Drosophila melanogaster: one gene and its partner. The protein of the gene in region 2 interacts with the protein of the main gene of each other region in a pairwise test. Each region holds a gene or a part of one and is shown on either strand. Other genes may lie near its edges.

Region 1 (5,553 bases), on a different chromosome or scaffold from region 2:
CCTTACATATTCTACAATTTTCTTTGGCCTTCAGGATTTGGTGTAGAGCGTTTGCGAGACAACATCATGGATACTTATTGGCAGTCGGACGGTCAGCTTCCCCACCTGGTCAACATTCAATTCCACAAGCGTACGAACATCAGTCAGATTTACATATACACGGATTACAAGCTGGACGAGAGTTACACGCCATCAAGGATCTCCATACGATCTGGAACGAACTTCAACGACTTGCAGGAGCTGCAGGTGATGGACCTGACCGAACCCACCGGCTGGGTGCAGATACCCATTAAGGATGGGAACGTCAAGTCCATACGCACCTTCATGCTTCAGATTGCTGTGATCTCGAACCACCAGAATGGCAGGGACACCCACATGCGCCAGATCCGCATCCATGCGCCCGTCGAGGGCAAGCACTATCCTCTGGAACTGTTTGGCAAGTTTGGAACGGTCGACTTTCAGAAGTTCGCCACCATTCGTTAGGGAAAACTTTGGGATTTATCGAAGTCTTTTATTTTTATGTATTTTTCGGGGTATATAACTGCTAAAATACAACATTTAAAACATTACTTTAGTAATTTTATGCATATTTTTGGTGTTTCTAATTAAATGCCCGTCACTTGTATATATATAATTCGAATGCAAATAAATATATACCGTCGTCTAAGCTTAAGTACAAATTAACAAACACAGTGGAAGTGTAAGAGTTATTATTGTTACTGTTTTATCGCGATACAAATGCAAAATGTGAAAATGGAACGCCAACGAAAGAGTGCGAGAATTATTGCATCGTTTTGTATTGTATTGCACTATCTCGAGGATTGTCGTTAATGATTGGTGATTATGTGTTCGATTTCCTTGCAGCTTTCAACGTCTTGTAGTGATCCTTCTCCTCGCCGGTCTCGGGTGGCTCGCTTTCGTAGGAGGCCTTCATCAAAAGATCCTCGCTCAGCACCTCCGCCTTCAACAGGTAGGACACCACACTAGGCAACTGCTCGTATGGACAGTCCAATCGCTGCCATTTGCCAAAATTCCGCAGCTGGGTGCCCAAATGAAGGCACTTCTCAAAGTTTATGTATCCGTTGGCCAATCTGCAAACGGATTTGAATTCGGTTAATCTCGAAACAGAGCTCATTTATGCACAAACAAACTCACTTTGTTTCATGGCTCTCGTTAATGGCATGCAAATCTTTGAGGAACAGCGAGAAGAATGGGATGATGGCACGCTCAATTTCGTTGGCCATTTCCCTTTCCGAACGCCAAACAGCTGCCTTCATGGTGGATCTGTAGTTAAGAAAGTTCGAACTGGGATCCATTTGATGCTCCAAACCCTCGAACTTTGTCGTCTGCACTTTGGCCCACTATAAAAAATAGTAGTAAAATCAGACTTCACTCGTTTTACTTAACGAAAACTCACCGTTTTCTTTAGGCGAGCTATGGCAGTAAGATTCAATGCTGTTAGAATGGCCATCAAGCTGTTGAAGTTGCCTGTGTTAAAGCATTCCAGAGCTGTTTCCACCCAGAAGTCGATCATTTGTGCTCTCTGGGACTTTTTGCCCAACTAGGAACGAACGAATCATATTTTTTATTTGATTAATGGTTAATTTTTTTTTTAGTACTCACCTTTAATATTTCCGTTGCAGTCAAGTAGCTTAGCTGGTTGAACCACTGCACGTAACTGTCGATTGTCACCTGGCTGATGCAATTCGAACCCAAGGTGCCCGCCTTGGTTTGGCTTATGCAGGTCTTCAGCTCATCCTTTTCGAGGATTTCCACAAACTCCTCAAGACGTATTTGTGACAGATAGGCGTACTCGATGGCATAAAGTTGGTGAGCCAACTCGAAGGCACTGCTGCAGTTGTTTAGCACATTGTCTGTTTTGTAGACATTGGCGGCAAAGCGTTTCAGCGACTTAATACTGCTCTGACGTCCCAACGAGCTGGCCGACGATTGCTTGGTAAGCAGGTTATTTAGTTGACTTCGTCCATTTTCGTCCTTTTGCGCCAAAGCTTGGGGAATTCCATCCAAAAAAGCTGCCAATCCTTTTACATTACGCTTATTTTCCAGCTCCTGCAATAGCAGTTCATGGCTAAAGTCCCCGGGACAGGTGTCTAGCCATTCGTTCAAAAGTCGTAACACGTTTTCCTCCTCATTATCAATCTTGGCAATGATTTTGGAAAGCAGCTGGTGTGGTGGTGAAAACAAGCGGGAAGTGGTCAGAAAGGCAAACCGCAAATCCTTAGTATTATTATTGATAAGCAGGTTGACCACCGAATCCAGGTTGCCCTTCTTGGGTATGTCTTTGGCGTAAACTGGCGCTGTTTGGCAATCGAATGGCTCTGTGATCTTCAAGTGGGTGTTCTAATTTAGGTAAATTATTAGTTATTTAGCGACTGGCAAATCCGTTCAAACTTACTAGGATAGAAACCGCATCCGACTCATCTGCGGAGCTGGGAATGTCGCAGTACAAAGAGTCGGTTAAGGTGTCACGTGGATGTGACCAGGGTGCACTCATCGACACGCTGTGGAAGAGGCCATCGTGCCCGGAGTCGCAGCTGCTTATATTCGAGCTTTTGTCCCCAATAGTGGTGGATGATACAGATCCGATGACCTGATCGGATCCAGTAATAGCAGAGCTGCTGGACATAAGGGAAGCATTCGAGAAGGTTTGGTTCAGCTGCCGGCCCAAAGGATCAACTGGACGCTCGTCCGAGTCTGTGGCCTGCGATGCGAACGTGGAATTCGAAGTGGTTCGGTATTTGAGGGCATTCTCGGGAGTGGCACGCGCCAAGGCCGACTGCTGCTTGACAGGATGCCAGATCTCTTTCTGGTGCGACTGATGGTTAAAGTTTTCCTTGGTCTCCACGGTGCGTTCGTCTAGGATTTGTCCGTTGCGCGAGACCAGCACCTCCTCCGTGGTGGTCAGAGAGGACTTGACGGTCAACGAGGTCTCTACCTCGATGGGCTGTTGGGCCAATCCGGCGCGGAAGAGCAATTGATTCAGGTGCTCAACCGATGGCATCTGCCCCTCCAGCAAAGCTGCCTTTATGGCACTGGCATCATCCGCCGGCAGCCCATCCAGCTTCACCGGCACTCCGTTGACCAGCAACACCTCCTCCTGCTGCAGCGAGGATGAGGTTTCGCAGTCCACGATCTTGACATCCTTGCCGAACAGGGACTCCACAGCGTTTAGGATATCTTCGTCCATGCTTGGGGCGGGGTTATCGGGGATGGGGAAAGTGCAGACACACGGGGATCTCTGGAGAAACGTGACTATTTGGCTGCGATGGTTGTTAAATGCGTTATGACCACAGGGGGACTCTTTGGATTAGTCGCAATGCACATGCACCACTATCGCGTACATTTCTGGAAAGGAAGGGGCAAGGGGAAACCTCGATTAGCACACACACAGTGGGAGAAAGACAGGTGGCCGGGGGCTTTGGTTTCGTGCGCTCTGGTGACAACGCCCACTTTCCCAAAAGTGGGCTGGTCTCTTCTGATCAGAACATCGCTTCCGGAGCAGACACACCTGCAGGAACACTGTTGCGCGGTGGCCTTCCATCGGACGCACTGCCGCCTTTCGTCACGGCATTCCCCGCCTGCTGCTCATCAAATGTCCGCCGTTTTTTCTGCGCCTAATATAGTTTAATTCGCCAATTGACTTAATTTATTTCTATTATTGTTGTCTCGGTACAGCGATACCATCGATGTTTACACAAATTTGGCAATAATCGATATCCCCAACTGGGGAAATCATCGATTACTTGCTTTCTTGCTGTAAATATCCGCATCTGGCAACGCTTTTAACAGGTTTTAAAATGTCAAGCGTTATTTCCGTTACTATCCCCAAACATTTTTTTAATTTACCCGAATATCTAGATCTTCTTGTTTGGACATAAAGGTCTGGTTATTGTTCACATCAAATTGCTGAACTCCTCTAAAGTTCGTTTAGTGCCCAATTAACCCGTGAATAGTTTTAAATTTCCAAAAGATTCTTGTTTATTCCTCTTTAATTTGTTATCTGTAAATATTTAAGCAAAGCAATGCATTGCATTACTTTCGTTTAACTACTCTAATTTAGCAGCATTATAATTAAGAAAAGACTTTTATTTAAGAAATGGACGCAACCAACGCCAAGTCCACATCACAAACTGCACAGTAAATTTTGCCATAAATTTCGGATTCCCCGCTTAAACCACGGGATAGGAGCACTCCTCAGCAATGAAGCAGTAGTTTTTGCCGCGAGGCAGGCGGAAGTAGCCCTTTTCGCCCCAGGTGTCGTCCCAGGAGTTCTTGACGATCCAGTAATCCTGTCCTTTCTCCGATCCGTAACCGACGACCAGAATGGAGTGGTTCGGCTCGCCCTTGTTGCACTCATCGTCGTTATAGATGCCACCGGCGTAGTTCTTAAGAGTCTCCAAACCATTCACCGAACAGGCAACTGGTCCCAGAGTGGCCACCACCTTCTTCAGCTGCTCCTCGTCCTTGGGCGGAATAGCGGCGAATCCCTGGAGGGTGGCTCCGGACTTGCTGCCATCGTACTTGCACGTGCCCTTGTTGTCAATGTAGGGATAGGCCCCCTCCTGGGACACACCCTTTTGCACCTCATCGATGAAACAGAATGCGGCCTCCTGGAAGCCACCATCGCAGCCATTCAGGCCAAAGTCCTCCACCGGACCACAGTCGACCAGATTCTGCTCAGAGAGATTGGGCAGGCTGCCGGTCTTGCGGAAGGTGTGTCCCTCAATGGCACCAGTGGTGGCAAAGGCCCAACAGGAGCCACAGGTACCCTGGAATTTGACTGGTGTGACACCGCCATGCTCGCGCCAATCGAAGGCATCCGGGATGGGCTTCGCAGGCAGGTTGACCAACTTCAAACTGGCAGCAGCTCGAGCCCTGGGTGCAGATATAGAATTGATAAAATCCTATGCCGGCTGTGCAAATGGTTTGTTAGCACTTACTTAGCCTCCGGACTTCTCTTCAGACCGGTCAATTGACTAAGGAACTCAGAGTGGGTCAGATCGGCGAAGGCGTTCACGGCCTGCTTGAAGGTGTGCACTCCTTGGGCAAAGGCTGCGTTTCCGGCTTCCACCAGGTTCTTGGTGGAAGCGAAGGCACCTTCATGAAGAGCGCGATCAGCGGCGGAGAGATAGGTCTTTCCAGATTGGCTCTGCAAATCGGTTGAAGTTTTACTTCTACCTTTGAAATTGATCAATGCTGCCTATCTCACCAAGAAGTCACCAAAGTCCTGGACGTTTGAGAGCAGCGGCACCTTGGGCACAGCCTTGGCAATGTTGCCCACGGCATTCTGAACGGCGCCGGCCACATTTTGTAAAGCTCCACCCACTCGATTGTTGCCCAAGCCTCCGAGTCCACCTCCAAATCCGCCTCCGAGTCCACCTCCAAATCCGCCTCCAAATCCACCGCCTCCGAATCCCTGGCCAGAGACCACAGCCACCAGAAGTGGAAGAACCAACAGAAGCTTCATACTGATCTGCCAAAAGACGAAACTATTAGTTCCGACTGGTTTTGTAGTCGAAGGGTGAAACGGCG
Region 2 (4,737 bases):
GCGGTGCGCGAGGTGATCCCCCAGGAGATTCCGTGTGGTGTCCAAGTGCTCGCCTGCGGCAATAAACAAGCACTGGCCATTGCCAAAGCCAGTCAGCTGCAGTTTATACGCGCTGAGGGATTCGTCTTTGGCCACGTGGCGGATGAGGGTTTCACGGATGCCTGTGCGGGCGATTTGCTGCGCTACCGGAAGCTCATCGATGCCGAGGATGTGCTCATCTTCACGGATCTGAAGAAGAAGCACAGCTCACATGCCATAACCGCCGATGTCAGTCTCTTGGAAACGGCCCATGCGGCAGAGTTCTTCATGACCGATGGTATCATCATTACGGGTACAGCGACGGGTCATGCAGCCAGTCCCGAAGATCTGCAGCAGCTATCCGGCAGGGTTAAGGTTCCCCTGATAATTGGCTCTGGGGTGACCAGGGATAATATCGACAGTTACTACAAAGATGCGCACGCAGTGATAATTGGGTCGCATTTTAAGCGAAATGGCAACTGGCTGGAAGAGATCAGTGAACCAGCTGTGGATGAATTCATGCAAAAGATTTGCCAACTGCGACACTCGAAATGATTATAATTGTTAATGGATTTATTGATGTGTATAAATGTTGTAAACGATGATATATGTTTGTATACGATTTAGTTTGATGTCATCTAGTTCTAGAATAGATTAGCAAAGAAATCATAAATCCGCTCACGCAAAGATGTGGGTTTTAGGGCGGAGGACGACTCGCTGGAGAAAGCAAAAGGCTTCTCGACCAAAACCGGAGACACTGCATCCAAGGTGTCGTCGAACTTGACGCGCTTTTTCTGCGGCGGCGTGCAGATCTCCTCATGACTCTTTAAATGCACAGGGAACATATTGTCCCCGTTGAACAGATCCTCTCGCTTTACAAATGTTGGTATGGTGTTGTCCACATTGTGGGCCCTGAAATACGATTTGGAATCGGAGTAGCGACTGGCAAAGCCGTAGCTTGGATCGTGATCATTGTTAGGCGCCGGTACATTGCTGCGTTTGAGGATGCCGCGTACATTGGCCACCTTGTCACCGGCAGCAATCTTTTTGTACAACTTTGAGATGCGGTTCTCCTTGCTGGCGGTGGCCAGCTCTCCAGGCCTTCCCGGCTGGTGGCGCATCTGCACTGCCGGAGGCGGTGGAGGAGCTGGTGGTGGTGGTGCAACACGTTTCATGGAAACAGAGGAGGAGGAGGAGGAGGAGGCCTTTCCCATTGGATTTCCATTTGGAGCCCTTAAAATTCCACTGGCCACTTTTCGCTTTCGAGAAAAGCAAGCACTGTCCTCGGTCTCCTCTTCGGAATCCGTGCTGCGATTCTTATTGCGGAAAACCGTATCATATTCCTATAGATTATTTAGAAACATGAATGTTTATCTTGTAAATGTGACTGTTTGGTACTTACGCATTTGCGCTTATTGGGACTCAGTACATAATCAGCTCCGAACTTCTTCATGTCCTTCTTGCGTATGGGCGTTCTTTTGCTCGAGTCCTTTCGCAGTGTCTTTCGGCACTGAACGTGCAGATCGATGGCATCGCGGATGAAGCCCACCCAAGTGCGCGACAGCTGCACATCGCCGCTACCGAAGATTATGCCATCACTTTGGCAAGTAAGCTTAAAGTTGCCCGGCAGCATTTCGTACACTTTGCATTTTTTCAACGGAAAAATACAGCAACACTCCAGTGAGTTTTCCACAACGGTGTTGGGCGCACGTTCCTTGATCATCTTGCAGTACATGAAGATGTCGGACATGAGAACACAGTAGCGCTTGATTTCCGTGCCCTTGTGAGTGATCTTCTGCAGTACACCCTCCTTGATTACCCGTCGCGAGGGCTTCACAATGTTCGGTGTGCGATTCACCAAAGAGTTCTGCAAATGAATCAGATACTGGGTAATTTCCTGCTCCTCCACACAGGTGTTTATGTGACTGGCGGTGGCCTCGATCTCCTTGACGGATTCTGTAAGGATGAGCGCAATTATTCGATATCTGATTAACATTAACTTCAAGATCATACCTTTCAACAACTTATAGTCAGCATCTGCGGGACTCGTGTAGAGCAGTACCTGCTCCAGAAGAAGCTTATACCGCGGTACCCGCTGGATGGGCACAATCATCAGCGAATTTAGCTTGCGTTGCACCTCCGGACGACTCTCGGTCTGCTCCAGAAACTTTCGGAACACCGGATTCTTGCTGATCAAATCCTGGATGATGAACAGAGCTCCGCGGTAGTCAAAGGCGTACACCGAGTACAGTTTGAAGAAAGGAGCCATTTTCAGGAATGCGTGCGCAACATTCTCCATGTTCGCCTCCAGTTCGCGCAGGAATTCTCCGTTAAGATTGTGAATCATCTCGATTTGACCGAAGAGCAGCGTGTGATTGGAGCAATCGATGATAGCCTGTTCCTTCAAGGGACGCACAAAAAAGTTCATCAGCAGCTCCAGCTGCTCCAGATACGATTTCTCCGACGAAATAATCTCCTGGATGGCCTGGCGACGGAAACCCAATCTTTTTCCCGCGTCCGGATTGGGGGAGCCAATCGGACTGCTGTTGTTGCTGTCCAGCATGGAGCAAACTGCATGAACCGAATGGTCACAATTAGTTGTTGAACACCTGGCGCCGCCTTTGTGTGCTGCTCACCTTTCCTACGCGACTTGGCAGTTAGAAGATTCCGCTCCTGCAGCACCTGCCGCAGTTCCCGGCTGAAGCTGAGAGGTGTTTGTGGCGAGTGAATGAAGCCATTCCCGTATCCTTTCTGCCTGGGCGTAAACATTTTCCAATCGACTTTCTGGAAAGAAGATCCAAAAAGAAAACGACGCCACACCTGTTCAATTTGAACAATGCCGCTTCTGCAGTGTTACCGTTTGTTAGTGGCAGCCACACTGGAAAGTGTAAGACCGCATTGGCGAGGGGAGATTGAAGAATAAGAAAAAGTTAAGCAAACTATAATATAATCTTGTCTATTTTTGTAGCTTTCTATTCATCTTGGCTGTGGTTATTATAGATCTTATAAAAATTGTAATATTAAATTAATTTCATTTAAAACTTTTGTGCCCGCGTATGCGTTGCACCAGTCTAGCCTATTGTATTGCGACATGGTCACACTGGCTAAATTATTTATTTTTTATACGTGGTTCGTGGCCCGTTTAGCTTTTAATTTAAATGTTGTTTTAGCTATTGCTGCACCGAAATGCATGCAGAACTCAGCGAAATGGAGTTGCGCATAGTGGCGCGACTAAACGAGGAGATCGGAAAGGATGCCAGCCAGCTACACCGGGCCAGCCACCTCGTTAGCCACTACAAAAAGCACCTCCAAGTTTTGTCCCAAACGGTTGGACGAATATCTATCTATCTAGATCATGATTTTGATCCATATATTTCAACAGCTCGACTACGAGGATCCCCAGAACGTGTCCTGCTACAAAACCGCCTTCCAATGCCAGCAACAGGTTTGCGAGAGCATCGACTTCGAGCTGGAAAAGCTGGCTCACTTCGAGGACAAGCTGAAAAGAAAGCTAAAGGAGTGCCAGCCCGTGCTTGAGGGAGTGGCAGAGGATTTAGACAAGGTGCGACAACTGCAGCGTTTGCAACAGTATCTGCTCCTGGTGCAGGACATTCAGGAGATAAGCGCTGCCCTAGGCAATGCCATCAATGGCAAGGACGAGGACAAACTGGTTAATATCTACCTAACCCTCTACGAGGGCAACGACTGCGAGCACAGCGTAGTGGGTCGCCTGCATGCTGTGCAGGCACAGTCGCTGAAATCCTTTGCCGAACGCACTGCCATCTACTGGCACAAGCTGCTCCTCAAGCGCCTGTCCAGCGCATTCGAGGCTGTACTGAAGAGCATGCGCTGGGCGCATCTAGAACAGCAGGCCCTTAACTATTCGTCCGCACGAGACACTGCCAAGGCGCAACTGCTAGCGGAGTACATGTTCCTCATCAAATCTCCAGCCGAAGAGCGGGCGCCACTGCAAAGCATCACGCCCAGCATCGTGTGCCAGCCCATCAACCGGGTGGTGCAGCTCCTATTGGCGCCGTATCGCCAGCGTTTCCAATTTCACTTCACAGGCACCAGACAAACCAATAGATTAGACAAGCCCGAGTGGTTCTATACGCAAATTCTCAACTGGGGCAAGGAGACGCATTTCTTTGTAGGCAAAACATTTCAGCCAGCTGCCATTAAAGCGGGTAAGCTGGACTACAATCTCAGGGTAAGTGTCTCGGTGTCTTACCAGACCACTCAAAATTCTAATTGTGTTACTCTTTTAGCTGGAGTTTATTCGAGGACTGGTGCAGTTAGCCATTGAAAAGTTGGCGGTGGACATAGAACAGATTGCCCAGGACCAGATACTATTTGCCCATCTACTTGATGAGACGCTGGCCTTCGAATCCGAGTTACGGGAAACATTTGGGTATCCGGCTAGTTTTCCCAGCGCGATTTCTGTAATCACACAACCCATGTATTTGCTACGCTGGATTTCACTGGAAGAACGATGTGAGATATGGTCGCTGCCCTCGATTGCTGTTATTTAATAATGTGCTTACCTAGTTTGTGCGGAAAAAATGGATGACATTCTGCAGGCGGAGACGCCATTCCAGCTAATCGATCCCAACTCATTCGAGAACGATCTGAAAATACCCAAGTGTGCGGATCAGTTTATGCGACTGCTGGACGCCATTAAGGATCGTTACTATGGTCTGATTCAACCGGGCCACCAGC

Evidence for each region.
Region 1: the proteins of RhoGEF4 (region 2) and CG4853 interact in a two-hybrid assay, tested with the Drosophila melanogaster proteins (one large-scale study listed by BioGRID).

What each region holds. Positions count from the first base shown.
Region 1 is NT_033778.4:17,512,393-17,517,945, reverse strand, and holds CG4853 (uncharacterized protein), read right to left. Parts: upstream 3,730-5,553; 5' UTR 3,530-3,729; exon of another isoform or gene 3,367-3,529; 5' UTR 3,209-3,366; coding exon 2,417-3,208; intron 2,362-2,416; coding exon 1,624-2,361; intron 1,562-1,623; coding exon 1,418-1,561; intron 1,362-1,417; coding exon 1,156-1,361; intron 1,092-1,155; coding exon 842-1,091; 3' UTR 501-841; downstream 1-500. Other genes in the region: APC10 (anaphase promoting complex subunit 10), read left to right, coding at 35-483; CtsK2 (cathepsin K2), read right to left, coding at 4,191-4,896, 4,962-5,170, 5,231-5,553.
Region 2 is NT_037436.4:7,320,524-7,325,260, forward strand, and holds RhoGEF4 (Rho guanine nucleotide exchange factor 4), read right to left. Parts: upstream 2,889-4,737; 5' UTR 2,788-2,888; coding exon 2,655-2,787; intron 2,625-2,654; exon of another isoform or gene 2,590-2,624; coding exon 2,032-2,589; intron 1,975-2,031; coding exon 1,421-1,974; intron 1,362-1,420; coding exon 663-1,361; 3' UTR 576-662; downstream 1-575. Other genes in the region: CG8607 (uncharacterized protein), read left to right, coding at 1-573; Rint1 (RAD50 interactor 1), read left to right, coding at 3,205-3,345, 3,401-4,228, 4,287-4,512, 4,567-4,737.